Linked DNA regions of Rattus norvegicus. The protein of the gene in region 2 purifies or fractionates together with the protein of the main gene of each other region. This does not show direct contact. Links are inferred from orthologs where the notes say so. Each region holds a gene or a part of one and is shown on either strand. Other genes may lie near its edges.

Region 1 (4,728 bases), on a different chromosome or scaffold from region 2:
ACCTGCCCTGCATGCCCAGGAGCAGTACCTGGCTTAAGAAGCTGGGCCCAGGCTGCACCTCAGAAGGGAGGCAGGCCAGGGTCTCCCCAAGGGCATGTCCTTTGAGCACTGTGTGCATTAGCAGGAAACCACCATCCTTGAGGGCAGCTACCATGTTGTCCAGGGCCAGGGCTGGATCCCCCAGGGTGGCTAACGCACAGTTGCACACCACAAGGTCAAGAGCACCCAGGTTGGTAGGAGCAGGACCAGAAGGGTCCCACTGGCCCTGTGCTACATCATGCTGCTGCAGCTTGGTCTGAACATCCTTCAGGGCCTGGGGGTGCCGGTCGGTGGCTGTATACTCCAGTTGCAGCATAGGCTGGGTGTTGAGCAGTGCTGAGATGTGGGAATACAAGTGGCCTTCTCCAGCCAGCACCTGGTGTGGGAGAGCATCTTAGATCTGTTGTTTCTAGGAGGCAGAAAACCCTGGGGCCTGGGTGAGCCTCTCCGTGCTGCTCATGCTCAGTTTTGTGGCAATGCTGGCCGGGAGGCTCTTCCAGTGTTCTCCTCTACTCTCCTGTGGAGACTGTCTGCGACATCCCAGGCTAGAGCTCAGAGCATCCCAGGATTCTTTCCCAGAAGCCTTCCTTCTGATATCTCATCCCCTGGACTGGTAGCAGTGAAAAGTTCCCCACAATCTTTTAGGGTGGAACAAACCAAAGCACAAAGGCCATAGAAAGCTGCTACATCATGGCTGCCTGCCTTGGGCTCGGGTCTGAGATTGCCCTGGATCCACGCACATGGCCTGTCTACCTTCCCAGCACTCACCTCCACCACCTTCATCTTGAGAGTAGACAAGTTCTCCAGGGCTGTGTCTATGCAGGCCTTGAGGGCCTGGGAGTTAAGGAGGCCACTGATCAGAGGGTCTTCTGGCAGCAGGAGCCTCTCTCGAGCCAGTACCTCACCTAACTCCAGTTGCAGGTTCCCGTTGAGCTGCAGCTGGCAGGCAGCAGCCAAGAGTCGAGGCAGTCCATGCTGGGGAAGGTCCTCTAGCCCAGGCACTGTCATCTTCAGCCCTTGCTGGGTGGCCTTGGTCTGCAGAGCCTTTGCCAGACCTGGGAGGGACAAAGAAAGGCCTACGTTCTCTCTCTACGGCCTCCAGCCTACTGCCAGGGCCTGCTTCCTAGCGTGTCCACAGGACAAGCCCACAGCAATGGGAAGAGCGGAAACTCAATAGGAAGGATGCAGCAGTGCCGTGCTACCCATGGAAGGTAGGCTGTGCTCTCACCAACCCTGAGCTCCCCGCCATCCAGGCCTTGCCTCAGGAGTTTCAAAGGCAAAGACTGAGGAAGAAGAGGGAAGGTTTGGATCCTCACCCTTGCACAGCTGCAGCTCTTTCTGCAGGATAGCACTCTCAGACAGGCACTCAGGCTCCACATGGGGTGTGAAGACAAACTTCTCCAGGGTGGGGACCAGCTGTTCCTGCTGCCGCCGTGAGGTTGCTGTTGTCTGTAGTCTCGAAATGTAGACACCACCAGAGACGGTCACGCCCAGACAGCGGCTCGTGGTCACGTCAGCCACTATGGAGACACACTGGTCAGTGTAGGCAATGCTCAGTCCAGGACAAGTGGACAGAGCGAGGGCCAGAGCTACCTTGAGTGTCTCCCTCCAGCATGTACACCTTCTGCAGGTGGGTTGCAGGGTCAATATAGATGGCAGTCACACGGGTGGGTAGCTGCAGACTCTGCTTGCTGAAGCCCAGGATGGATATCTGCAGCATTGTGTCCATGAAGGTCACCCAGTTGTCTTTCCAGAGCAGCTTGCCTTGCTCACCTGCAGTAGGGGGGCTGCTCAGCACACGAGGCCTCACCTGCTCCAGGGCCTCTACTCCCTTCCTCCGTCTTCCCTGACCCCCAGCAAGACATGGCCCAGGAGTGACAATGGCTCCTGGTCATCATGCTCACTGACTCGGGGATTGCTCCTGCCCACCTTCGAGGGTGGCCTCATAGACGCCCTGGAAATGAGGGCCATAGTCATAGCCACGTAGCCGCAGCTCCTTGTATACTTCTCCCTGCGTCAAGCGGGAGACAGACTCGGACTCGGCGGGGATCGGGACTTCTGGGTGGTCGAATAACTTGGAGTCAGGGTCTTCCCACTGGTACACTTTCCCTGTAGGAGGCAGGGCAACAGGAGGGTCTGAGCATGGGGCAGGCTAGGAGCTGAGGTCCTCAGCCACACAGGCCCAGCCAGGTACTACTCACCGCTCACTATCAGGTTGCCACTGTCAGACACCTCAAATGCATGTGAGGCCTCTAGCAGCCGCACCTCCAGAGGCACGGTTCCTGCAGAGAAAAAAAGAAGGTCAGAGCGGAGTAGTCACAACCACCTCACCAGCCCCCACTGAAGGGCCTCTTACCTGTCCTGGGCAGGATGGTGGCCTGATGAAATGTCACGTTCTCAAACACCACAGGGGTCTCTTCTAGGGACAAGCTCAGGCTTCGAGCCAGTGTCTTCCACACCAGGTACAGGTAGCCAGTGCCAGGGAAGAGGACACGGCCGTCAATGCAGTGGTCGACCAGGTAGTGGTCAGATGACTCGGAACTGGCGTCTGTAAGGACAATGCCTCAGCACGGGCCCACAGGCCTGGGAGGAACCCACTGACCACGGAGCCTGGCTCACCAATGTTGTAGACTGTAGCTGAGGAGGAGCTGGAACCGTTGGGGAAGTCTTCAGCAACTGGGATATCCCAAGTCTGACTGTGGTCCCACTTGATGTGAGGGGAGATGAGAGGAGTCCCTCGGGGAACCGGGAATTCCACAGGTGGGAACAAGGCATTAGGGTTGATGTCGATGCTGGTGACAAACAAGTTAAGTGACACACCTGTCCCTGAGAGTCTGTGGCCCTACTTTTGCTCTAAGACCCCAAGATGGCCAAGATGAGGACCGAGGGCCAGCACTGAGCTAGGCCACAGCAACCCCTCTCATGGGGGTTGGTGTGGGCCTGCACACGAGCAGCAGACAGAAGGGAGACCTACCCTGTGAGGTGCACCTTGCCGAGGTTGGTGAGGAAGAACTCCAAGTTATCTTTATGGTCCCTCTTCATCAAGGGGATGATGGTGCAGCTAGGCTTCACGCCTCGCTTCAGGACAGCCTACACATAGCAAAGGAGAGCTAGGCTCCGACCCCTTCCGTGCCACTCGCCTTCGCCAGTGACTGGCAGGCTGATGTGCCCCATCCCAGGCGGACCAGTGCTCACCTGCAACAGTGCATGGGGTGCAATCTCCAGCACCACGGCGTGCTCGGGGACGTGCCACAGTGCTTCCTGGAAGAGCACAGGGCTCACCAGGTTGTTGACGTTGTACTCAGCAGAAGATGTGCGGGCCAGGCTGCTCTGCCACTGGGCCTCAGGGATAGAGGTGCTGAGCCAGCGTGCTGAGCGTGGCCGTGGCTCCCGGATCACCTGCACACAGACGCTTGGTTAGCGAGTGAGGTCAAGTCACCGTGCCCTGGGGTCCAAGCACATGGCCAGGTACTCACCTTCTTGAGAGCCTGCAGCAGCGTGGGGGCAATTCCTTCCATGAAGTAGGAGTGGAAGGCCAGGCCACCTGTTCGCACCTCCTTGGCAAACACGCCCTCTTGCTTTAGCTGCTCCACAAATTCATTCACTGCAGCCTGCAGGCATCAAGGCCAGTGGTCAGGGGGCCTGGACTGGCTTTCCCTGGTCAGGGACACAGTCCACCCAGAGGGCCTGCGACAAGTGTAGCTCACCAGCTGGGCCCTTCAGAACTTGGTGGACACAGACTGAGGAGGCCTTGCCTCCTAGGCAGGGCCAGGGCAAAATTGCAGGGAACAGAAGTCCTGCTATGATTGCAGGGCCTACCTGAGGTCCAGAGATGGTCACAGTGTCCTCAGAGTTGTGGCAGGCAGGCACCACACCAGGAGGGCAGCGTTGTTTACATTCTTCCCAGGACAAACCTATAAGCAGAGAGGCTGGCCTCAGAGCTGGCCCGAACTCAGCCCATCCTCCTGGACCATGAGCACTACTTAGAGCCAATGGTGTTGGGATGCTAAGAGTCGACCTTCCAGGGCACCTTTACTCCCTCCCTGCTGTTTCTGATCTCAAGAGAGGTGTCATTATGGAGGGAGTGTAGGAAAGGAGCCGGACCTCAGAAATGACACCTAAGTGGTGTAGGGGGTAAGCAGCTGAGAAGCTGGGCGATGAACACCTAGGGTTGGTAAGTGGCTCTCCTCAGCTCCTGGAACCCTCATCTGATGTGTATGGTGTTTCATACCTTGCTCGGGCCTGTGGGGTCAGAACTGAAGCCTCCTATAAAGATAATCTGAGCAGAGTGACTTCTCCCTTTGCAACCCCATGTCTCACAACAAAGCAACTGATTCTTTTGGAGGACCCAGGACAGAAACCCCTTCCAAGAAGATCCTGGTGCCTAATGAGGTCGGGGGCCCTTGAGAGGATACCTACCAACAGCTGCCATGGATCCAGCCGGAAGGTTGGCATCCTTAATGCACTGGCCTCTCCAGTAGGCTGCAAGCACAGCCTCTCTCTGGGAGAGACAGCCATCTGCATAGCCACAGGCAACCTCTCCCAAGGAGTGCCCAATGATGCCATCAGGTTTCAGCCCCATAGACGTCAGCAGGTCGATGAGGGCAATCTGCGAAGTGGGGATATAAGCCATGTCACGTAGACCCTAGATCACTAGCCTGACCATCCCTCACAGTAAAGCTGAGCACA
Region 2 (4,728 bases):
GTTTTTGTAAGACATACTAGGTTTCTTCCAAAGTCTTTCCAGCTTCGTCCTCCACATCTTTAGCTGGGGACTAACCTGCTATCTTTTTCTACAGGAGAAGATTCACAAGGCTTTAGAAAAACTGAGAAAAGGGAAAGAGTTGGCCGAGAAGTTGGAAATGGATCTTGCAATGCAAAGAACAGACTGGAAGGCAAGAACTGTAGACTGCATCTCTCAGGTCTTGACATTAAGCAAGTCTTAACCATGACTGTGCCTACCCAAGGGATGGTAGAGTTATTATACAGGTCACTCTCCATGAAGCATCTGCACTCTTTGTCTCCAGATAGAGAGGAAATGAAAGGAAGGAAGGAAGATGGGAGAGGGAAAGAAGGATGGAAGAGAGGGAGGGAGGGAGGGAGGGAGGGAGGGAGGGAGGGAAGGAGGAAGGAAGGGAGGGAGGAAGGGAGGGAAGAAGCTTAAAATTAGATGAGATTTCCACCAGTCTGGCACAAAGATCAAGAATTACTGGAGGAAGTGTAAGGTCACATCATTCCTTCTCAGGGGACAACAGAGTCAACAGTGGGTTCTTGGATCTGAGGTAGGAAGTCCACCTGACCTGGTGGCTGCTTGTTGGTGACCAGAGTATTAGTCCGAAGCCTGATAGAGAACTAAAACCTGTCCCACTGAGAATTTGCTGGTAGGAAATGAAATACATCTGAAATTGGCAAGGAATGTGAGGGGCTTACAGCCAATCACAGACCCCAAATGAGTAGCAAAGACTCGACTCTCCAAGATGGCAAAGAATGTTTTCCTGGGGCCGCTGTTTTCCACCCAGGGCCTAGAAAGATAGCAACACTGGGTATGGGGACAGATTTACACTCTATTACTTGCTGAGATAGAAATACAAAGGGACTCACATGGGCATTAGTGGCTTTTGGAAGAAAGGTTGAGTATCTAGTGACGGAAGCATGTGTGGGTGAGGGTGGCGGTTTGAGTGTGGGTGGGTGTTGAGGGGACAGAAACACCTTCACCACCAAAGCCTAGGAAATTTTGATTGTGAAACTCTTGTCTTTCCCTTGCCACCACAGAGGAACATTGACACCCAGAAGTCGAGGATTCACGAAGAGTTCGCACATCAGAATAGCTTGCTGGCTCAGGAGGAACAGAGGCAGCTGCAGAGGCTGGAGAAGGATGAAAGGGAGCACCTGAGACTCCTTGGGGAGAAGGAGGCTGAGCTGGCTGAGAAGAACCAGGCCCTGCAGGAACTGATCTCAGAGCTGGAGAGGAGGAGCCGAGGTTCAGAACTGGAGCTATTGAAGGTGCGATCCCTACGCAGGCGCAAGGAATAACTAGGAAAAGGCCAGCACTGTCTGGAACCGCTCTTAAAAAGGAAGTGCTGCCTTAATTTTTAGGATATTTTTAAATAAGCTGAAATGTGAACACTCAAGTGGCTTCCATTACAGAATAGCAGGGTACAAACACAAGAGAAAGTATTCCATATAGCAACCAGTAGATAGCTATTCCTAGGAGATGCCCACCACAGCAGGTGTCAGGAGTGGGAATCATGTCACCAGGATGCATAGTATCACATATCTTAAGTGATATTTTTAAAAAGAAATAAATGAGAAAATTCATTCGAGTTCTTAGACAAATAGCCATAGAATGTTTATAAAAGTTCAGTATATAAAACCGAAGTATGCCGTTTCTCTCCAAAGTGATAGCTCATGGGAATAAACTGTTTTTCTTTTCTATACTGTTTCTCCATTTATGAAGCCACAGAGGGAGTAGGATCCACAAGGATGCCCTTAACCCAAGCATAGCTGTTGCATAACTACCTATATGATTTTTAACATATAGGATTCTGCAAAAAGTCTCGCTCTTTTCCCAAAGTAAATTTAAAATATTTTTCCCAAAGCATAGGAACTAAAAGATCATGTATTGGTACTACTATTCTCTCTTCTGATTTTTCCCATACGGATAGTAAGTGCAGGTTCCTCAAGAGCACACCAGTGACTTACCAGGGCTCAGGGTAGTGCTGCTGGGATCCCATTCCACAGAAGAGAAAACATTAATGGACATAGTGGGAGATTCACAGTAACTTACATCAGCTTGTCTAAGTAGTAAGAGGCAGAAATTAAGACAACAGATTACTTTTTAAAGTCATTCATACTCTAAAACCATCTTTCATCCATCCTTGGTATGGATGTTAGCCTGGTGTTGGAACATTATAGACCAGATGATCTCTAGGTATCTTTTCTCATACCTCTGTCACTGTCCCTCAGTCAGATGTGTACAGACATTTCTTTCTACTTTGTACAGAAAAGCTGGTCATATAGGTTTGACTTGGCAGGCTTTCTCCTCCTGTCATAGAACTGAGCTCCCTGGTGTCTTTTTCCTGATCCTAGGAGACTGCCAGTTCAAACACTATGGCTGCCACTCCCTGGGAATGAATATTCTCACTTGAGCTCACTGTAAATAGTAGAGAGGATTAGCCATAGCACAGGACAAAGCTTTTAACCAACTAGCCCTTCCTCCACAAACAACTCAAGCCCAGAAATAGCAAGGAGCCTCTCTGGACATCTACCTCAGCCATTTTCTGCTTGAAACTGGGCTTCAGTCAGGTCGTGTTGTTTATTTTCCTCTTCTACTGTCTCCTTGGACAGCCCCATCCTCCAGGAGCCTACATCAGTCTCTAGATCCCTGGTCATATCCTAGCTAAAGGCCATAGGCATGTTGGCTTCCTAGATACTCTGTTAGCCATCACATGTCATTTCTCCTTGTCAGAGTCATCCTTAGGGCCTTAGCCCAAGGCGATGGTGCAGAACAGAGCCCAAAGGATACACGGTCAATGATGTCACATGACCCCAGGAGTGGCATCTCAGTAGTCAATCAGAAACTCCAGAATTGACTGTCTGTCTCTTCTCTCCTCAGGAGGTGAGGATCGTCCTGGAAAGGTAAGGAGAGGTTTCCACAGAACAGGAAGCAAGTGTGCATAGAAATGGCTATTGAGTTAGGCGTACATGCACTGGGGTTTGCCTCATGCATCCCTATTCTCAAAACCTGGTCCTCTCTGAAACGTTCTCTACCCTCAAATGTCTAATGGACATCCCACTTGATGAATTGCCCAATGTAGTTAATGAATGTCATCTTCATACATTAAAAGTATGAAAGTAACGGGTAATCTGACTCTGCTGCGACTCTCATATGGGAAGATTCATAAGTAATGAGTGAAACCTACAGCATGGCCAAGATTGCTCCAACTTCTTCTCAGAAGTGACCTATTAAACAGACCGGGTAAACAGTTCTCTGCACCCAAATCCCGTGGGAGGGAGAGCTAAACCTTCAGAGAGGCAGACAAGCCTGGGAAACCAGAAGAGACTGCTCTCTGTACATACATCTCGGACGCCAGAGGAAAACACCAAAGGCCATCTGGAACCCTGGTGCACTGAAGCTCCCAGAAGGGGCGGCACAGGTATTCCTGGTTGCTGCCACCGCAGAGAGCCCGTGGGCAGCACCCCACGAGCGAACTTGAGCCTCGGGACCACAGGTAAGACCAAATTTTCTGCTGCAAGAAAGCTGCCTGGTGAACTCAAGACACAGGCCCACAGGAACAGCTGAAGACCTGTAGAGAGGAAAAACTACACGCCCGAAAGCAGAACACTCTGTCCCCATAACTGACTGAAAGAGAGGAAAACAGGTCTACAGCACTCCTGACACACAGGCTTATAGGACAGTCTAGCCACTTTCAGAAATAGCAGAACAAAGTAACACTAGAGATAATCTGATGGCGAGAGGCAAGCGCAGGAACCCAAGCAACAGAAACCAAGACTACTTGGCATCATCGGAGCCCAATTCTCCCACCAAAACAAACATGGAATATCCAAACACACCAGAAAAGAAAGATCTAGTTTCAAAATCATATTTGATCATGATGCTGGAGGACTTCAAGAAAGACGTGAAGAACTCCCTTAGGGAAACACAGGAAAACATTAATAAACAAGTAGAAGCCTACAGAGAGGAATCGCAAAAATCCCTGAAAGAATTCCAGGAAAACACAAACAGTTGAAGGAATTAAAAATGGAAATAGAAGCAATCAAGAAAGAACACATGGAAACAACCCTGGATATAGAAAACCAAAAGAAGAGACAAGGAGCTGTAGATACAAGCTTCACCAACAGAATACAAGACATGGAAGAAAGAATCTCAGGAGCAGAAGATTCCATAGAAATCATTGACTCAACTGTCAAAGATAATGTAAAGCGGAAAAAGCTACTGGTCCAAAACATACAGGAAATCCAGGACTCAATGAGAAGATCAAATCTAAGGATAATAGGTATAGAAGAGAGTGAAGACTCCCAGCTCAAAGGACCAGTAAATATCTTCAACAAAATTATAGAAGAAAACTTCCCTAACCTAAAAAAAGAGATACCCATAGGCATACAAGAAGCCTACAGAACTCCAAATAGATTGGACCAGAAAAGAAACACCTCCCGTCACATAATAGTCAAAACACCAAACGCACAAAATAAAAAAAGAATATTAAAAGCAGTAAGGGAAAAAGGTCAAGTAACATATAAAGGCAGACCTATCAGAATCACACCAGACTTCTCGCCAGAAACTATGAAGGCCAGAAGATCCTGGACTGATGTCATACAGACCCTAAGAGAACACAAATGCCAGCCCAGGTTACTGTATCCTGCAAAACTCAATTAACATAGATGGAGAAACCAAGATATTCCATGACAAAAC
Region 3 (4,728 bases), on a different chromosome or scaffold from region 2:
ATGTCTAAGTGTTCAGTTCTTATAAGTTCATTCACTCCACAACCATCTATATAATAATTTTACCTTTCTAAATTTAGAATATAATGTCACATTTAATTCTCCAAAGTAATTTCAAATTCAAACTTTGTAAAAACAAGCAGCAGAAAGTCATATCCCTGTAAGTGAGATCATATAACTTACCTGCACACCCACAGTCTTAATTGGCAGCAAGAAAGCATTCAATGAATGCTGACTTGTAATTTCCATGAGTTTCTCCTGGTCCTCTTCTGTTGTGCAAGCTTTGACTCTTTGTAACAGTGTATGAGGCTGAGAAAACCAGACAGACATTTTTGTTCATGTTGTAAAAAGTCATCATCTTATGTACCTGTACAGACTAGTTTTTAACAGTAGATCATGTAGAATATGCTATGCGCTATACTACAGCAGAAATTCATCTGTGGAGTAAGAAATATAAATTAAATTTATATACACTGAGATGTTGACTTTCCTGCCACCTTTTGTGCATTTTGTGTCATCACCTTCCCCCTTTTATCTTGCAACTTTTGCTCTGTAAACTGGTGATCCTCCCAACTCATTCATCTAAACCTTTTTGTCCTTTTGGCAAAACAATCATTTTTAATGCTTTACATTTTGTTAGTTCTCAAATAGTAATATTGTTGTCATTAACTATTTTGTGCAGTCTATGTTTAGGTCAGTCTTACTCATTTATAACTTTATTTGCTTACCAATCCCTTGTAGAGCTAAGTCTGTCTCACAGCTTTTCCTAAAGCCAGTGCTTTATTCAAGACTACCAAAGGCAGGAATTCTAGAAATGGGCAAGTATCAAAGGCCCCCTTACAGCCAGACGTAGCGCACACCCAGAGTCCTAGCACTAAGGAAAAGGAGGTAGAGGGCCATGACTGTCTCAAAAACCAATTACTATTTATATTTAGCCTCTCTTGTAGTGTTTGCTACAAGAAAGGCTAAATACTAGGAGATGAGGAAGAACTGAATGTAGGTAATGGACATGAATAATCAAAAGATGTAAAATTAATTGTTTTCCTACTTGTCTTAGACTTCAGTTTTAGTATTAGATAGCGGAATTAAAATATATTCAATAGTGAAAGTGTAAAATCCAACGTGAAACTTTATAACCTTAGAATGGTTATTCTAATTATACAGTTCACCGAGAGGAGGAGGCTTACAAGTTTTTTCTAATAAAGTTTATTTTTTAAAAAAAAATAATAAAAAGAACAAAAAATTACCCTCCCAGTTTACTTCAAACCATTATGAAAAAATACTGCCTTAAATTCCTCAAGCCAAGGGTTGTTGGTAGTAAATGCACTTATTTAGAAATGCCTTTATTTGAATACTTGCTTTAGTTTTTAAAACAACTGGGCATGCACCAGTCATCTCCCGGAGCACCTTGAGTTGTTCTGATTTTTAATTCCTCTCTCATCCTGACTGCAGTTTCCTTCCCTCCACTCTTCACACTCTTCTCTATCCTTGAATCCTTTCTTCATATGTTAATTTCAGTTGCTAACAGTTCTAGAATTCAACTATCTCAGTTTTTAAGTATCATAAAACAATACTGTTAATAGCTTCTCCTACTTTACTTCCTCATATTTTATTAGCAAACTACAGTATGCAGGGTCACTGAGGATGCTCTGCTAGTTATTTATAACTTAGTGGGTCATATGGCTGTGTTCTGTTCTTTGTAAGCTCTTACTGTTTTGAAACTCTGGGAATTCTTTGGGAAACAGGGTGAAGATTATAGAGAACCTGTGTAGAACTTGCCTGACTACTTAGAAACAGTACCAATCCAGGTGGACCTCAAATGAAACTAACTTGCTATTTTCAATCACATAGATTATGAGTTAACACCTCACATCTGAGGGACTGGGAAACTGCTATACATTCTCAATTTATACCTAAAGTATTACTAAGAAAAACTGTGATCTAATTACAGACACTTCATGGCCCCAAGGTCTCCTATTTGGACAGTTTCTGCTCAAATGGAACTAGTGGAATGCTGTCTTCAGGGGAGCACACAGCCTTCTTAAATCGACACTTCTACTTCACTCATGACTTACTTTCTTTCAGTACCTATGAAAGAGCATCTGATGTAGCTTTTCTGGACAGGGGATAGGTAGTCTTATTTGCTTATCCAGACAGATCTACCAAGTAGTCTCTGTGTTATGATTTCTACATAGTCACTCCAAGTAAATATTGTTCTGAATTTTCAAACACAAAATAAATAAGTTCATTTTAAAACAAGAATATAACAGCAATCTATTTTGTCCAATGTACTGACTAGATGTCAAATAATTTATTACCTTCTTAACACTTGCAGAAAAATCAGCTACTATTTTCAAAATATTGTTGGTTTCAGGAAAGTCTTTACAAATATAAGGTTCTTCAGCACATATTACTCTGATTGCCAGGCCAGGACCTAAAGAACAACAATTTTGAATATAAAATCTATAATTTCAATTTTTTTTTTTTTTGGTTCTTTTTTTTTCGGAGCTGGGGACCGAACCCAGGGCCTTGCGCTTCCTAGGTAAGCGCTCTACCACTGAGCTAAATCCCCAGCCCTATAATTTCAATTTTAATAGAAAACTGATACGATCTCTAAAACATAAAACCCTTATAAAATTAGGATCTAACTATTATCACATGGTGTTTTGTTTTCTTCTTTTTATTTAAAAGTGTTAGGGTTCAAATACAGGGCATCGTGCATGCTAGCAAATAGTCTACCACTGAATCCTAGCACTCTAACTTTCAAGGCCAAAAATGTAGCTTTTTGGTAGAGCCAATCTTAAGTATGTACAAAGACATGAGGTTCAATCTAAAACTAAAACAAATGAACACAAGATATTTAATTTCAAGTATATATGTATTAATTTCCCATCCAAATTGACTAATCTATATATTCTCATAAAAATATTTTAATTCATACTATATATGGTAATTTACTGAAAATCTCTTAATTGAAGGAATTCTCTACCATACATGAATATAAAAACATATAACGAACATACATCTCACAGCCTGTTTAAAATTGAAATATAAAAGTAAAAATATTGTTTAATACAAACTTGTGAACCAGCACTTTTATTTACCAAATACGTAATAGTCATAAAGTAACTAAGTAAGTAAGCAAGCAAGTAAATAAATAAACAGCAGGGTACAGAGACTCCTCAGTAGTTGAGAGTACTAGGTTTCAGTTGCCAGCACCATGTATCTCAGGGGCTCTGATGCCCTCTCTTTTGACTTCATTAGGCATCTGGCATGCCCATGGTGAACACACACATGCAGACAGAAACACATGCAAACAAAACAAATCTCACACAAGACTAAAAAAGAATAAAAGGCATGCACAAGACCTGTTGCTTTACTATAGTATGGGGAAAAAAAAAACCCCTTGAGGTGTCTACATGCAAAATGAAACTCATATTCCATTAGTTGTTCTCAGTCTCATTACTAGTTTTAAAATAAGCACCCAGGGTTTGGGGGTTTTGTTATTTGGTTTGTTTTTGGTTTGTTTGTTTGTTTTCTGAGACAGGCTTTTTTTGCAGAGCTCTGGCTGTCCTGGAATGTAGACCAGGCAGGCCTCGAATGCATGAACCCAGAGCATCCAAGGCAACCTGGAGGTGGGAGTGAGAGGGATATCACTATTTTTTAAGAGAACCATTTTTTAAAAGACGCGATCTTTAAAAACAGAAGAGGAAAAAACAAAGATTTATTTTTTTTCCCATGGAATACACGAATACTCATGGTATAAATGGTAAAGTACATAGTACTCATGGTATAAAAATCCTAGATCTATAACTAAGAACTATGTAGAAATGTAATTAAAATATCTCTATGATTCACATCCCCATCTGGAAACAATGCTATATGCTAGACTCCCAGGAATTATATAGTACCTAAATACAAACAAAAAAGAGAATGATTCACATATGGTGTAAATACAGGAGACACTTCTAAGAATGTGTTCCCTGTCATTCTCTACCTTCTTTGATGTTACACAGTCCCTAAGAAGACAAACCATTCAGAATGGTCTGAACTGAATCCATATGACAGTCCACCAACAAACAAAACCCAAGTGTGTTTTTACCTGGAAAAGGATGCCTGGAAACCAATTCTTCTGGCAGGTCAAGCTCTCTGCCTAAAATCCTAACTTCATCTTTATGAAAATCTTTCAGAGGTTCTATTACTTTCCCCTATAAGAAAAAAAAAGGGGGGGGGGGACCAATTAAAAGATTAGACTATTATTTAAGATATTTTCACCTATGAGGCTTAGAAGGAAATTAGATTATTATTGAGTAGCACTCATAATCTTTGTTGAAGACAGTATAATCCTTACAAGTTTTATAAGAAAAACAAATTCCAATGCTGGAGAGATGGCTCACTTTTAAGAACTCTCTCTTCTAGAGGATGCAGCATCAATACTCAGCACACACACAAGTCTAAGGGTCTTACACACACAGTCAGTTCTAAGGGATCCAATACCCTCTTTCTAACCTCCACTGGCACCAGGCACACACAAAATGCACAGACATCCATGAAGACAAAACAATCAAACACATAAATTAAAATCTTTAAAAATAAAACGATAAGACCCATCATATCTCATCTACTTTTCACAGGATACAAGAAAGGCAATTGAAATAATGTTCACATTAATGAGTCCAAATGAGCTGGGTAAGGTGGTACACACCTTTAACCCTAGCAGTGGGATGCAAA
Region 4 (4,728 bases), on a different chromosome or scaffold from region 2:
CTAATAATCAGTTGCATTAAGTTCGTGGCTAATCTCTGTCTGGTGTAAACCATGCTGGGTGTCTGCAGAGAAGTCACCGGTGCTTTGCCCTTGCAGGTTATGGGAATGTTGTGGAGCTGCGCATCAACAGTGGTGGGAAGTTACCCAACTTCGGTTTCGTTGTGTTTGATGACTCGGAACCAGTTCAGAAGGTCCTTAATAACAGGGTAAGCAAAGTGTGTGTGTGCGTGTGCATGCGTGTGTGTGTGTGTGTGTGTGTGTGTGTGTGTGTGTGTGTTTGTGTGTGAGAGAGAGAGAGAGGGAGAGAGGGAGAGAGAGATGTCTGGTTTTTGCTTGCTTGCTTTCGTGCACACGTGCGTGCTAGGTGTGTGCAGTGCCTTTAGGGGTATGGAGAGTGGGAACACGCCCTGGAAGCGGAGTTACCTATTTTGATAACTCCAAGGCTTCTGGCCATTGAGGCTCACCTCCTCGAAGTTGTGCTTGCAGGAGGCAGATGGTTCAGGTGCCTTCTGCCCTCTCTCCATCTCACTGTGCTATACTCCCTTCAGTCTGTGTCTGTCTGTGGGGGGTGGGGTTTTAGCACTGGCTTGCTGAATGTCACTGTGTGATCATACACTAGTGTAGCTGAGTGTCATTTTCCAGCTAGAAGGCCAGGCCTTACTTTCTCACCCCTAAATTGCAGGACTCTAGGAATTTTATTTAAGTCAGTTTAATGATGATTTGCTTACGAGGTACCAATATTTTGCATAAGTGTGTGAGAAGGTTTTATTCTCAAGCTGTGGAGGCGTCCATATCAGGGTGTTTACTGGAGTGTGCCTTAGTTATTAGTACAATGGTGCTCTGCTTCAGGACTCTTTAAATTGGTGCTTTTCTACTTCTTGGCACTAGTAACACAAAAGATGTTTTATGAGCTCAACACATTGGTGACAACGGACTAGTTGGTTGAAAGCCTTGCTCAGTAGGGTGGCTTTGTTCACTTTTGACCGGCACAGTCAGGGGCTGATCTGAGTGTTTGCTTTCCCTTGGTTCTCACACAGCCCATCATGTTCCGAGGTGCGGTTCGCCTGAATGTGGAAGAGAAGAAGACTCGAGCTGCCAGGGAAGGCGACCGCAGGGATAACCGCCTTCGGGGACCTGGAGGCCCCCGTGGTGGGCCGAGTGGTGGGATGAGAGGCCCTCCCCGTGGAGGCATGGTGCAGAAACCAGGCTTTGGCGTGGGCAGGGGGATTACAACTCCAAGGCAGTGAATTGCTTGGCTCAGATCTCCACACAGCACACAGCCCCGGCTCCTGCAGAATGGTGAATTCCTTCAACCAGCCTTTGGTGTCTTGGAGTAGTCTATTATAAACTGCTTGAGTTTGTACAATTTTAATTTCGCTTGTGTTCATGGTGTGTGCTCCCCAAACCCCTTTCCTCCCTTGACCTTTTAGTCCTTCATTCCCAGTTTTCCGGAATGATACTTTAGGAGGAATAGATTTGTAAAGACGAAGAGGAAAGACTGACCTTCCTGCTCACGCTGCATACACAGACTGGAGTCTCACGGCCATTCCCCAGAAGTGTCTCGGTTTCACTGACCACGGATGTTTCATTTGTTGGGAGACACAGGATTTGATAAACATTTTGGAAGCGGGAAAAATCAAGTCACAACTCCTTTCTGGTGTGGAAAAATTGCCTTTTGGCAACTGCCACTGGGTCCCTGCAGGTGTGGCTAACTGAATAAAAGGTGTTCTTTTGACATGTGATTACCAAACAATTCTAAACCTCCATTTTTACCATTGGATTTTTAAATTGTGATGTAGCCTGTCAATGTCTAGAACACAGCTAAAGACTTTTGTTGAACTGTTAGATTTTTTTGAGGTAGAGTTTTTCATGTTTTATTTGTATTTGTAAAAAAAAAAAAAGAAAAAAAAAGAAAAAAGAAAAAAGGACAAAAAATTCCCACGAGAAAACAAACCCCAAATCTGATGACAAAACCAAGCAACACTGTGCCTTCTATTTATCGTTGACTCCGGCCCTGGCAACTGTTTAAAGGAAAGTAATAAAGATTCCAGAGTTGTTTTCAGATTCAGAGTATGTGGGGGAACTGCACAAGTTTTTTGATCACGTGTATGTGTCGTGTTAACATTGTTCTGCCTTATCCTAAATCACGCCTCAGACTGGGATGCTTTTGAGGAAAGGTGCTTCTGTGAGGCCTCTGACCTCAGTGGCTCTGTGCGCCACACTCTACTCTGCTGTCTGTCTGGGTTCCTGGTGGGCCATAAGAAGGATTTGGTTGAATATTGGACTTGGCTAATGTGCTCCAGGGTCTGCATTTTTTTTCTTTAAATCATAGCCATATGGTAAATTTTCTATTTTGTTACGGTTCTCTTTTACTGATGGACATGCAGTGGGTGTTTCTTGGAAAAAGGCCAATTTTTATTAAAATATTTCTGGAAGAAAACTTCATCTGGCAATGTAGACTGCTAAAACTCACTTTCCAGTGTTGTGTGTTGAGTGCTGTGTGTGACATTGGGTGAAGGTTTTGTCCGCACAAGCCTCCATGGACAAGTCATTAGTCTGAAGGCAACCAGAGTGTCTAACTTTTCCTAATGTTTGTGTGTATGTCTATGTATATGTGTATGTCTATGTATGTGTGTATGTATATGTATGTGGGAGTCTTCATACATGCGTGCACCACAGTATGCTTGTGGAAGTCAGGGCAACTTGGGATCTAGGCCTTATACTCCACTGTTTGAAATTGGCCCATGAGCCACAAGCTTCTATGGGCTCCTGTTTGTGCCTCTCATCTTGCTGTAAGGGCACAAGGATTTCAGACATGTGCTGCCATGCCTGTCTTCCCTGTGGCTTCTGGGAATTAGTCAGGTCTTCATACTTACACATAGTGCTCAGCCAGCTCGTCTGACTTTAGAGCTGTCACATATGTATGCTGGTTTTGTTAGGGTAGTTGGGATGAAAATGGTGTGAGGTTGTCAGGTTTGGTCTCAATACCTCACAGATCTAAATGTTGACAGCATGTTGTGAACTGAGGTAACCAAATCCCACGACTGGGGGTTCAGTTTAAGCACTTCATTTGAGGTGGTGACGATGCAGATGTGTGCAGCATGTACTTTGTAGTAAAGTGTATGGTTACAAGGACAACTGAGCCAGGCTTGGTGACTCATGATGATAACCCCAGCACTCAGGAGGCAAAAGCATGGTCTGTGAAGCAAGTTCCACCAAGGTTGCATAGTGTGACTTTCAAGAAACAAGGCAAAAGGGCAGCAAAGAAAAGTCCCAAGTGGCACACAATGGCACAGGCTTGCCTGTGTAGTCTCAGATCTCCGGTTCAAGGCTAGTCTGGCCCATATAATAGTCTCTTAAAAGTTTCAGTAACTTGGGTAAATCTAAAAATGATTTTCACAATTGAGTACTAAGACATGCATTTAGAAGTTTTTTCCTAGTCACCTGATTAGGTGATTGACATTTGCTGTACAGAGTAAGGTGTCATGGCAGCATCCCTCATTTCTCTGGAGACCAAGGGTATCAGAGTGATCTGGATTGATCTGAGAAAGAGCAACCTGTGGGTGGGTTGGGATATGAGAAGCCCATTCTCTTCTACCTCAGATAAGTGTGTAGCAGTACAACCGCGCGCGTGTGTGTGTGTGTGTGTGTGTGTGTGTGTGTGTGGTGTGTAGGGATGTAGCAGTACCCCTATTGCTTGTGACTGGGGTTGGGGAACTGCTTCAGCCCTACCCTATTTCCCAGCAGTGGCACTGGGGATCAGAGTGTGCTTTGGAAGGGCATGGGTCTCAGCTTGGCAGCCCGTTTTGCACTGGAGAATCTGGATGCCAATGACACCACGTGAAGCCTAAACCTTGGAGCTTAAGAGGTGCTCATGGTTACAGAAAGCACAGGCTATTTCAGAAGTGGCTGCTGATGTCAGCCTTCTCATGTCAAGATTTGATCTGCAGGGAAGACTCAGGATGTCGTTCTTTGTTATTGAGCTTAACTAGGATCCGTGATGGGTATTTTAGCCAAGTGAGACTTTATGTATGTGTACATGTCTATGTGGATGTTGGCCACATGTGCAGGTGCCTCAGAACACCTATGGCCCCTTGGAGCTGGAGTTACAGGTGAGTGAGCCCTCCCACATAGGAGCTGGGAATCGAACTTAAAGTCCTGGAAGAGCAGCAGGGTACTCTTAGGCATGAGTCTCTGTTCAGACCTATTGGAAGTAAGTAACCAGACCTTGACCAGACCTTTCATTTGCTTTCCTTGTGAGGTGGCACTCCTGTGCTCTGCAGTCTCAGCTGCTGCTTTGGAACAGGGACAGTGACAGTTGGAGAGTTGCAATCAGGGCCTGTGGCACACGCTTAATCCTGGTGCTCAGGAGACTGAGGTGAGGATTGTGAATTCAAAACCAGCCTTGATTACAAAGCAAAGCCCACTTTTGTTTACAGCAAAACAAGTGAGCCCACTTAGCTTTCATGTGTGCCTTGGATTATGGCACAGTAATAAAGGGAAGAGATGGTGGGAAGCAGTTGAGCGAACAGGGCTTTCAGGAGCAGGCGGGGCTTCGGGCAGTACCTACAGTATTGAGCCAGGAGCCCGGTTCCTGTGAGTGCCTGTGAGCTGGATGTCTAGGGTGGAATTTCCACCTCTCAGACCACTTGGGGTGCCATTCAGGACACAGTAGCGCCCTGCAAAGTTAGCTCACCAGTTGCCCTCTACATAGCTGCTCCCTGCCCA
Region 5 (5,214 bases), about 62 Mb from region 2:
CTGGAAGCAGCTCCTCACCCAGGGCCCAGAAGGAATGCGAGTGGCCTAGGCGCTGGGCCCAGAGGCACTGCCCTGCCCGCCACAGCACCAGCCCCTTGCCCAGCCCCTTGAGTACCTGCCTCACATACTCCCTCACAAGCCTGTCTGTCAGAAACTCCTCAGGGTCTGGCAGGGTGACTGGCTGCCAGGGCAGTGTCCCGTTGTCAGACGTGCTGCCCACCAGCCGCAGGCCCCCGGGGCAAAAGAGTGTCTGCTGGAAGACCTGGCGGCCTCGGTAGAAGGCAGTCACCTCGAACTCCCACTCTGAGTACCGGGGTAGATGAAGAGGGGAGGGGAGAGATGAAGAGGACCAGGTAAGGACCACAGTCCCTGCTGCAGCCCTTCCTACCCCACAGCAGGCACTCACGTTCCTCAGCTAGCAGCTGCCTTAGTGGGTTTTCCTGGGGTGCTGGGTTTGGGAAGTTGTTTACAATGGGGCTTAGTGGTGGTTGAGAAGGATCAGAAGCAATAGGCAGGTCTGAGGACCCCTCATCTGGGAGGGGTCCCAAGGCCATGTGATCGAGTAATTCCAAGAGGTCTTCCTGGAGGAGGAAGGAGCTAGTCAACAGCTTCAGCTGAGCCAGAGGGTAGCAGATTGGTGGGAATGGAGGTCCAGGGGTAAGGGCTGGGGTGGGAAGAAGGTGAGGCCTAATGGATGGGGCAAGGCTGGGCACAAGACTAGTGTCTCCTCACCTGGTGATCAGACAGACTGCTTTTGCCATTGGTGTCAGGGGAGGTGTCCAGATGTACAAAGTCCCTTGCTCCTCCTGTCCAGAGTGGAAGTGAGCAGAGTAAGTGGCAGAGATCTTCCAGACCCCACGGTTCCTGTGACCCCCAAGCCAGCCTTGTTACACACACCTGGAGTCACAAACTCATACACTTTATGAGGGTCAAAAGGGTCCTTGCTCCGGTCCTCAGCTAATCGCAACACTTCTTTCCGGTTCAGGGCTGACCGGAAATTCCTCTTCCAGGTTGACAGGTCTGGCTTATCCTTCCCTGGGGTGTAGGCACCACTGGCTTCCGCCCAGGCCTGATACATCAGTGATTCCAGGACAGTAGGGAAGACTACTTAGACACCTCCCACCATATTCCATACATTTCTGGTTCCTGACCTAAGTTCTCACATTCATAGAGCCCCTAGGACTTCTGTCCCGACCTCATCCTTATCTATATTTTCCACACTTTAGAAAAATATTTTTGAATATGAGACAGGGTCTCACACATTATAACAAAGGTAGGCTCCAAGTTTCGACCCTCTAGCTGCCACTTCCAGAGTGCTGGGATTACAAACGTATGCCACACATCCACCTTCAAGCCTTTTGATTTTGGTTTGTTTTTTTTTTTTAGGTTTATTTATTATAGACGAGTACACGTAGCTGTCCTCAGATGTGCCAGAAAAGGGCATCAGATCTCATTACAGATGGTTGTGAGACACCATGTGGTTGCTGGGATCTGAACTCAGGACCTCTGGAAGAGCAGTCAGTGCTCCCAACCGCTGAGCCATCTCTCCAACCCAAGCCTTTTGTTTTTTAAGCCAGTATTCTAGGACCTACTTGGTACCTCACCCCACATTCTGTTACTACCATGCTGATCTGGTAGCTAATAACCCCATCCTGAGGGCTGTTCCAATTCTTAAGATTTAAGGGATCTAAAATCAAGAGCCCACCCCCCCCCCGAGATTTCCCATCCTCTAATAAAAGAGCTGTTCTCAACTATCCGAATACAGATCCTCATGATGTAGTGAGTCCCCAGCCCCAAATTTTTTTCATTGCTACTTCAAAACTGTAATTTTGCTGTTATAAATCTTTTTTTTTTTTTTTTTTTTCCGGAGCTGGGGACCGAACCCAGGGCCTTGCTAGGGCCTTGCTCCTGCTAGGCAAGCGCTCTACCACTGAGCTAAATCCCAACCCCAGCTGTTATAAATCTTAATGTGAATATCTGTTTTCCAATGAAAGGCCCGTTCAACCCCCAAAGGGGTTGCGTCCCACAGATTGAGAACCATTGCTCCAGAACAGTTTTTTAGAGACACAACCTGGCTTTCAGAATTCTATTCCTGGAATCTGCCAATCAATTCCGGGCTGTCCCTCCAAGTCTATCCCACCTAATTAGCAAGACCCAGCCCTGTCTAGTCACGCCCATAAATGCCTCTGAAGTCTCAACGCCCCCCCCCGCCCCCTCCCCCCCAGCACCTGGAAGATGCCAAAGTCAGCCATCTGTGCGTCCTGTCGTAAGCCATGCTTCCATGGGATCCTGAACTTTGTACGGCTCTCGTCCAGCCAGGCCACACCTTTCAGCTGTCCCAGGTCCAGCTGAGACACCAGCCAAGGCAAAATCAGCGGTTTCGGGGTTCCCATGATCCAGCCTGCGCATACAGTGCAGTTCCTGAGCCTGTATGTCAAGGGGCAAATGCACTCAAACCTCTCCGACCCGATACAGCACAGGCCTTCCTTCACCCTGTTTTCCTGTGTACAAACGGGAAACTCCTTCCCACCTTTCCAATTCCAACGGGACCGCCTATCCTACCCCACAGTTTTCCATAGGTTCTTTCCCTTTTCTAAATGTAAACCCCTATTACTCAAAGCAAGTACCCCATTTCCAGGGTGGAGTCCTCTTTCCCTGTCTTTAAAGAATCATGACTGTTCTCACACCCACCTCACCCTTGCAGAAAACCCTTACTCATTTCCAGAGTCTTCTCCCAGCTGCTGTCGCTTCTTCTGCTTTGTCTTTTCTACATTGTTTTTATGGATGTTTTGAGACAGGGTCTTAGTATGGAGCATAGGCTGTCCTCGAACTTGCTATGTAGCCATGATTGGTCTTCAACTCACTGTGTGGCCCAGGCTGGCCTCGAATGCACTCTGTAACCCAAGCTACCCTCAAACTTATTCAGTAGCTCAGGCTGGTCTTCAACTCGCTTAACCCATGCTGGTTTGGAGCTCATTCTGTGGTTCAGCCTGGCCTGGAGCTCACTGGCCTCGAACTTGCAGCAATCTTTACTGCCTCCAGTCTGGATGCTGAGACTGCAGGCTTCCGTCTACAACGCGTAACCATTCTGGTTTTCGGTAGCCGAGCTCCTGTGCCCTGAGGCCGCCACCCTCCCGGTTCTTCCGCGTTACCTACCAGGGGAGGAATTGCGCGCTCGTGGGGCGCGGGTGTCAGCACTGGTTTTGGGGCTCCCAAACAGTAGTTGAGACTCGCAGCCACGCAACCCCCTTCTTTGTCAACTAAGCTTCCGAGCGTTGGGACTTTCCTTTCTAATGGTATTTTGAGATAAAAAAAAAATTTCTCATCATTTACTTTAAGAAAAGTCAGAAAACCTAGGAGCACACTCCGACTGAACCGGCCTAACTCCCTCAATGCCCTTTTTTGGCCTTCCGCCTACAGGCATGCTGGGAACGCCATATGCAAATGATGCAACACAGCGCTCCGCCCCCTCGACGTTGGGGCGGTTACCGTGTCGGCCCAGTGCGCAGGCGCGGGAAAGTTGAACTTCGGAAGTAAAGTTTGTAGAAATTGAGTGAAAGCGTGTGTGCGCCAGTACGACTGAGGCAGAACCCCGATCCAGGTGAGCGGGGTACCAGGGAGGGAGCTAGGTTGCAGGAGAGGTCACAGCCAGTCCTGTCTCTCTGACTTCCAAGCACGGAGGTCTCCTGGTGCCCGCCAGAGGTCATTGGAACTACATCTCCCAGCAGGCTGCTCGGTGAAAAAGAGGGGAAACCCGGCTAGCGTTTGCCGCAAAGCGTACTAGGATTAGTAGTTCCCTATTCTCTAGGGTCTTCGAGACTCCTTCAGCACTCAGGGCTCCCTTCCTGCTCCTGCATGTAAGAGTCCAAGCACTCAGTTACGTCCTTTCTTTCTTTCTTTCTTTTTTTTTTTCTTTTTTTTCGGAGCTGGGGACCGAACCCAGGGCCTTGCGCTTGCTAGGCAAGCGCTCTACCACTGAGCTAAATCCCCAACCCCTACGTCCTTTCTTAGATTCAATAATTCAGGCCCTTTCTCCTCAACGGAATCAACTGCCCCACTGGCCCTTAAGCCACCTTTTCCTTGGAGTAAGGTGTCCTCTTCATTCAGTGATTGAATGAAGTTTGAGTTATCACTCCATTTGGGTACATTCTCTGTCTTCTGCTTCAGGTACCTCCATGGCCGGCTCTGAAGAGTTGGGTCTCCAAGAGGACACACTGAAGGTTCTGACTGCCTTCCTTAGGCGCGGTGAAACTGCTGGGTCCCCTGTCCCAACTCCACCCAGGTGAGATACTATTCCACTCCCCCAGGGCCAGCCTTTGATCAGAAGATCTTCCTGAGTCTAGTGGTCTACTCCCTTCATACCTAACCCCATATGTCTGTCCCAAGCTTCAAGAATCTTCCACGAGAGGACGAAGGGATTGTTTGCTCAGAACCCTCTGGGATAACTCTGAGGTTCTTGCCCCTAGGAGCCCTGCCCAAGAAGAGACAACAGATTTCCTGAGCCGACTCCGAAGATGCCTCCCTTGTCCCCTGGGGCGAGAAGCTCCTCCCCCTGAGTCCTCTAGGCCCTGCTTCCTTCCCCTCCGTCCCTGCTATGGTTCAGAGCCTGGTAAGAGATTTCTTCAGATCACTTGTGAAATTTGGAGGCTAGCAGCCTTGGTCCTGAAGAATCCAGACAGTACCCATTATAAAGTCAACACTGCTCAGCTTCAGTGCCGGCCATAGCCATTTCAGTTCTTTGTTACACTTCTTTCTAGGGGGTAAGTGTTTCTGCCTGGATGGGAGGTATCCTGGGACTCCAAAGCCCAGAAACCACACAGCTCTGAAGGATGAAGGTATCCCAGTGCAAGAGAGACCTGAGACCGGGAGCCCAAGAATCATGCAGCTCTGAGGCGGGACAGTGTCCCAATGTTAGGGCATCCTGAGACATAGGGGCCCAGGAACCACACAGCTCTGGGAGGAAGCCTCCTCGGCAGAGGTGTTTTGGTCAAGGGAGGGTATCCATCCCCAGCTGAGCCGAGGTGCTCAGGAGCCTCAGCCCCGCTCCACTTCTTTGCTTCATTGCTTCTTTTCTTCTTGGCGCCTTCTGATTAGAGAGTCACACCAGGCAGAAAATCTCATGAAAGAGACTTTTTGGAGGGTTCAGAGTATGGAGGGACAAATCCATGGATGACTGCCCTCTGCTCCTGGGATCAGACAGCAGGGAATTAGACA
Region 6 (4,169 bases), on a different chromosome or scaffold from region 2:
GCATACTGCTCTTATGACTCTTGGTGAACACATGGAATAGCCTGCTCCAGGGAAATTATCTGTGACAAGGAGTCCAGGGAGAGCAGACAGAGGGGCATGGACAAGGGAGGTGCTCCAGAGAGGAAAGCAAGGGCCTGGAAAGTAGAACAGTCCTGACAGGACAAGAACAAGAAACAGGCTGGTCTGGGGCGGTTCAGGCAGGAAGAGCCCCCAGCTGTGCACCTGCTATGTGACAGCAAGCTGGCCTTGGCTCCAGGAGCTCTGCCTTCCTTCTTTATCAAGAAGATAAAAATGGGAGCCCTGCATGGTCTCCAGGGGAGGGAACTGAAAAGCTGTCATATAGTACCCGCTGATGGTCACTCCCATCCTGTTTGTTTTTATCCTCGGAATAGTAGGAAGCCATCACTGAAACCCCCAGCAGGAATCAGACGCCGCTGTCACCTAACCCTTTCCCACCAGTGACATCTTATTCTGAAGATGCATCATACATATTTAACCAGCCGAGAGAAGACGGAGTGGTGCTTTCTCGCCCGTCAAATCCAATCTCAGCCAGCTAGCGGGAACCCATCCTCTAAACCAGTGGTTATCAACCTGTGGGGCTCAACCCCTTTGGGGTAGCATACCAGATATCCTGTATGTCATTTATTTATATTACAATTCATCACAGTTGCAAAAGTCCAGTTCTGAAGTAGCAACAAAATAATCTTACGGTTGGGGGTCACCACAACATGAGGAACTGTATTAAAGGGCCACAGCGTCAGGAAGGTTGAGAGCCACTGTTCTAAACACTAGTCAAGAAGATTCAGTTTGAGCCAAGACAGAGGAGGAGCCTAGTGGAAATGGAACATCTGGACCAGCAGCCCTTACCTTCATGGAGTCATACAGCCGGTCAGCAAAGTACAGGGGCTTGTTCTGAATGCACTGAACTGTGGAAAGGAGACACAGGTCAGGGGTGAGGCTGCTTTCCTGCCATGCATGAAGGAAGATGATGCCCTGGCCCTAAGACACTGACCAGAATGGGCCTGCCCCATGGATCCAGGATGTAGAAGACCAAGGAAAACTCAGAATCTCGTGAACCAGTAGGTTCTACCCACTGTGGTCTCTTCAATCATGAGATGCAGAGGTCAGTGATGCCCCAGTGTATATATGAGTGTCCCCATTATAGCCCTCTCTTCTCCAGCAACTTAGTCCTTCCTGGCAACTTAAGCCTGTTTCATGTCTTTAAATCTGCAGACAATCCTAAAGCTCTCCGAGACTTGCAGAAAGTCACCACACCTCCCAAGTCCCCATTGAAGGAAACACATAGCCATTCACTCCTGTCTCTGCCCTCTCTGCCGGCAAGGAAAGGCCACCCTTGCTCACCCAGGTTCAGGAAGGCGTTCTCCAGGTCTCCTTTGACCTCTTTCCTGATGCTCTCCAGCATGTCATAAGGACTGTAGCTCTTGTACCTTTCGAACACTAAGAGAAGGACAAATGATGTCAGAAGTGCCGGTCGGAGCCGCACGGACAGCCTATACAACCAGACAGCAGCAGCAGCAACGAAAACAAGAACCCAACACCTAAAGGTGATCCCCACGCATCCCAGGGGCTGGCAGTCATTTAGGGGCTGGAGGTCACCTTGGTGGACTAGAGATGATTTGTACCTGTCTTGCCAGATGACCCAGGTCTAGCTCCTATCCTTAATGGCTCTGCCTAGGCCACAGAGTTTAACCATCCCTCTGTGCCCTGACTGGACTCCATCTACGTGGATGTCATGGGAAACAGGATAGAGCCAGGGGTCATGTCCTGAACTTCAATAATCATGGCGAGAGCAAAGGATCCTCAGGTAAGGAGGGGAATTAGGAAGGGCCATGGAAACGGCCTGAGGTCCGTGTTTAGCCCCCCAAACCCAAAACCCATGTTTCAAAACAAACAAAAACAAACAAGCCAAGCATGATGGTGTGTGCTTGTAATCCCAGTGCTGAGAAGGCTGAGGCAGATGGGTGGCAGCTGTCTGTCCAGGCTGCCTAGCCTAGTGTTTGAACTCAAGGCCAATGAGTCTAAAAACCAAAACAACCACCCGGGGTCAATGGTTTCAAAGGTACGACACCGAAGGTTAACCTTGGCTCCCACATGCACTCCAAACACATGTGCACTCATATGAACATGCGCGCACACGCACGCGCGCGCACACGCGCGCGCACACACACACACACACACACAGTGAAACAAGCTAACATATCAAATATTGAACACATTTGGGGACGGAGGGTCCACAGTGAGAAAGGAGGCCAAATGGTTTGATAAAGGAAACTGAAAGAGTGAGTGGAGAACGAGCCTTGCTCTGGGAGCTCTGCACCTCACTGCAGCCTTTGCCACCTGAGAGCCTCCAGGCACTGAGACCCCGCTGGCACAGCACCCACCTTTCTGGAGGTGGCACACACTGCGCTCAGTCATGATGCTGATCCACTTGGGGACATCGGTTCCTTTCCTCTTCACCCCAGCATCATAGAGCTCCTGTGAGAGATGCAACCAACCAGGAGAAGTTAACCACACAACCCCCTAGCAGGCGTTACTCAAAAGCCCGTTCCCAGAAACATGTGAGCGCACAGGCCTGTGCTGCAGCTGGGACCCATCGTGTACCACATAGAGCAGGTGTGCTCAAACTTTTGGCTTCCCGGGGCCACACTAAGCTATCTCCCTAGGCCACAAAGCCCACTTCTAGCATTTATTAAAAAGCCTTTCTCTTACACTCGATGCACTCCCCAGACTATATAAGATTTTAAAACAGAGGCACATGATTTTGTCTGCCGCTCTTATGACTTGCTTTGAGATAACAGAGCCGCCGACCCCTTTGAGTGAGGCACGCCTCGTTCGCAGTTATCTAAAATAGCTTTATGAGGAGGTCACAGGCCCCTGTCATCTTCCTCTGTCCTCACTGAGTGGAGCAGGGAGCCTTCCTCTCCTGGTGTGCCTACCCCATCTGCTCCAGCTTCCCTAAGAGTTTAAGGTCAGGACCTAGCACTTCTATGCAATCAAAGCCTGAATGAGCCAATGGGACCTGGGTACAGATCTGATAATTAACCCCAGCATTACAAACATGGTTCCTGGAGACAAAGCTCTATGTTCAGATGGGCTGAGGCTTTAAAAGGCCCATTTCTCCCTTGGAAAGGACATTACTTAGTTTTACCCCTCCCACAGCTGTGGGCTGGACTCATGGACTCACTTCTAATGGTCAGAGTATGACAAGAGTGTATGACACTTGCGACTGAGTCATGAGAGCATGAGGGTTTCTGGATCCCTCTTGGGTCACTCACTCTAGGGAAGCCAGGGGCAATGTTGTTGGGGACATTCAAGCAGTCTGTGGAGGCCTGTGTGGAGGTATGCTAACATCTCTTGCCAAAAGTAAGTCACACATGAGCCATGTAGGGAAGATTCCCTTTGACCTGGTCATGCGCTCAGTAATTATAGCCCTAGCCAACATCTTATCTACAACCACATGAGAGGCCTTGAGCCAGAATTATCTGGTCAATCCAGTCTCCATCCCTGACCTGGAGAATCCGAGAGATAACAAATGTTAGCTTGAGGTCATTCGTTGTATATAAGTAAATGGTTGTGTGGGATACAACCCCCTCCAGATACACACGCCACGTAAAACTCAGCCAAGAAGCTTGGAACTTACCCGGGCATCCTGGTCAATCAGCTCGTAGTCAATAACAGAACCATCCTCTGCCCGTTTACCCTGTAGGGGAAAAACAAGAAGGACCCTCAGACCTAGCTCTTAGTGCATTCTAAAGCTGGAGGTGTTTCCTCTCTAACCCAGGTGAATCATAGCCTCATTCCTGAGCAGATACTACGGCCAGTTTTTCACAAGGAGAGAGAGATGGTCAGGGAGGGAAGTGGCTACACCATGTCTGATCATTGTGGGCCAACCCTGGGGACCCAAGCCCCAGTAAGCATCTTACCGAATTCCCTGACTTGCCCCAGAGAAGCTGAGCCCATTTAAGTCTCTTCCCTTAAACTGTGTATAACGGTGAAACACATGGCAAGGGGGCCACCAGGATACAGTATGCAAATGAAGGGAAAGGCTAGTGTAGTAAACAGTTAGTTAGCTGAGCCCAGGAGGGCTGGGATAGGGCCGGAGCTGAACCCTCAGGGGCCAGCAGGGCGGGCGGGGGCACTCTGCACAC

Evidence for each region.
Region 1: the proteins of Trim21 (region 2) and Fasn purify together in Homo sapiens (affinity purification with western blotting; 3 studies listed by BioGRID, with this or other methods). This does not show direct contact. The link is inferred for Rattus norvegicus from reciprocal best matches to the Homo sapiens genes TRIM21 and FASN.
Region 3: the proteins of Trim21 (region 2) and Gmps purify together in Homo sapiens (affinity purification with western blotting; 3 studies listed by BioGRID). This does not show direct contact. The link is inferred for Rattus norvegicus from reciprocal best matches to the Homo sapiens genes TRIM21 and GMPS.
Region 4: the proteins of Trim21 (region 2) and G3bp1 purify together in Homo sapiens (affinity purification with mass spectrometry; 3 studies listed by BioGRID, with this or other methods). This does not show direct contact. The link is inferred for Rattus norvegicus from reciprocal best matches to the Homo sapiens genes TRIM21 and G3BP1.
Region 5: the proteins of Trim21 (region 2) and Irf3 purify together in Homo sapiens (affinity purification with western blotting; 3 studies listed by BioGRID, with this or other methods). This does not show direct contact. The link is inferred for Rattus norvegicus from reciprocal best matches to the Homo sapiens genes TRIM21 and IRF3.
Region 6: the proteins of Trim21 (region 2) and Anxa2 purify together in Homo sapiens (affinity purification with western blotting; 3 studies listed by BioGRID, with this or other methods). This does not show direct contact. The link is inferred for Rattus norvegicus from reciprocal best matches to the Homo sapiens genes TRIM21 and ANXA2.

What each region holds. Positions count from the first base shown.
Region 1 is NC_086028.1:106,577,924-106,582,651, forward strand, and holds part of Fasn (fatty acid synthase), read right to left. Parts: intron 4,649-4,728; coding exon 4,459-4,648; intron 3,954-4,458; coding exon 3,859-3,953; intron 3,651-3,858; coding exon 3,516-3,650; intron 3,439-3,515; coding exon 3,235-3,438; intron 3,130-3,234; coding exon 3,014-3,129; intron 2,832-3,013; coding exon 2,659-2,831; intron 2,588-2,658; coding exon 2,396-2,587; intron 2,322-2,395; coding exon 2,241-2,321; intron 2,149-2,240; coding exon 1,969-2,148; intron 1,813-1,968; coding exon 1,633-1,812; intron 1,560-1,632; coding exon 1,356-1,559; intron 1,095-1,355; coding exon 808-1,094; intron 416-807; coding exon 29-415; intron 1-28. UniProt on the Homo sapiens protein: Fatty acid synthetase is a multifunctional enzyme that catalyzes the de novo biosynthesis of long-chain saturated fatty acids starting from acetyl-CoA and malonyl-CoA in the presence of NADPH.
Region 2 is NC_086019.1:166,385,364-166,390,091, reverse strand, and holds part of Trim21 (E3 ubiquitin-protein ligase TRIM21), read left to right. Parts: intron 1-94; coding exon 95-190; coding exon of another isoform or gene 191-217; intron 218-1,067; coding exon 1,068-1,298; intron 1,299-2,910; coding exon 2,911-2,933; intron 2,934-4,728. UniProt on the Homo sapiens protein: E3 ubiquitin-protein ligase whose activity is dependent on E2 enzymes, UBE2D1, UBE2D2, UBE2E1 and UBE2E2.
Region 3 is NC_086020.1:150,621,005-150,625,732, reverse strand, and holds part of Gmps (GMP synthase [glutamine-hydrolyzing]), read right to left. Parts: intron 4,206-4,728; coding exon 4,100-4,205; intron 2,432-4,099; coding exon 2,316-2,431; intron 307-2,315; coding exon 181-306; intron 1-180. UniProt on the Homo sapiens protein: Catalyzes the conversion of xanthine monophosphate (XMP) to GMP in the presence of glutamine and ATP through an adenyl-XMP intermediate.
Region 4 is NC_086028.1:40,114,623-40,119,350, forward strand, and holds part of G3bp1 (ras GTPase-activating protein-binding protein 1), read left to right. Parts: intron 1-96; coding exon 97-206; intron 207-1,037; coding exon 1,038-1,247; 3' UTR 1,248-4,728. UniProt on the Homo sapiens protein: Protein involved in various processes, such as stress granule formation and innate immunity. Plays an essential role in stress granule formation.
Region 5 is NC_086019.1:104,614,652-104,619,865, reverse strand, and holds the start of Irf3 (interferon regulatory factor 3), read right to left. Parts: upstream 3,259-5,214; 5' UTR 3,157-3,258; intron 2,855-3,156; exon of another isoform or gene 2,817-2,854; coding exon of another isoform or gene 2,716-2,816; intron 2,481-2,715; exon of another isoform or gene 2,428-2,480; coding exon of another isoform or gene 2,394-2,427; coding exon 2,229-2,393; intron 1,070-2,228; coding exon 898-1,069; intron 807-897; coding exon 733-806; intron 582-732; coding exon 407-581; intron 304-406; coding exon 1-303. Other genes in the region: Bcl2l12 (bcl-2-like protein 12), read left to right, coding at 4,176-4,282, 4,467-4,609.
Region 6 is NC_086026.1:79,016,756-79,020,924, reverse strand, and holds part of Anxa2 (annexin A2), read right to left. Parts: intron 3,722-4,169; coding exon 3,662-3,721; intron 2,497-3,661; coding exon 2,403-2,496; intron 1,459-2,402; coding exon 1,363-1,458; intron 927-1,362; coding exon 868-926; intron 1-867. UniProt on the Homo sapiens protein: Calcium-regulated membrane-binding protein whose affinity for calcium is greatly enhanced by anionic phospholipids. It binds two calcium ions with high affinity. May be involved in heat-stress response.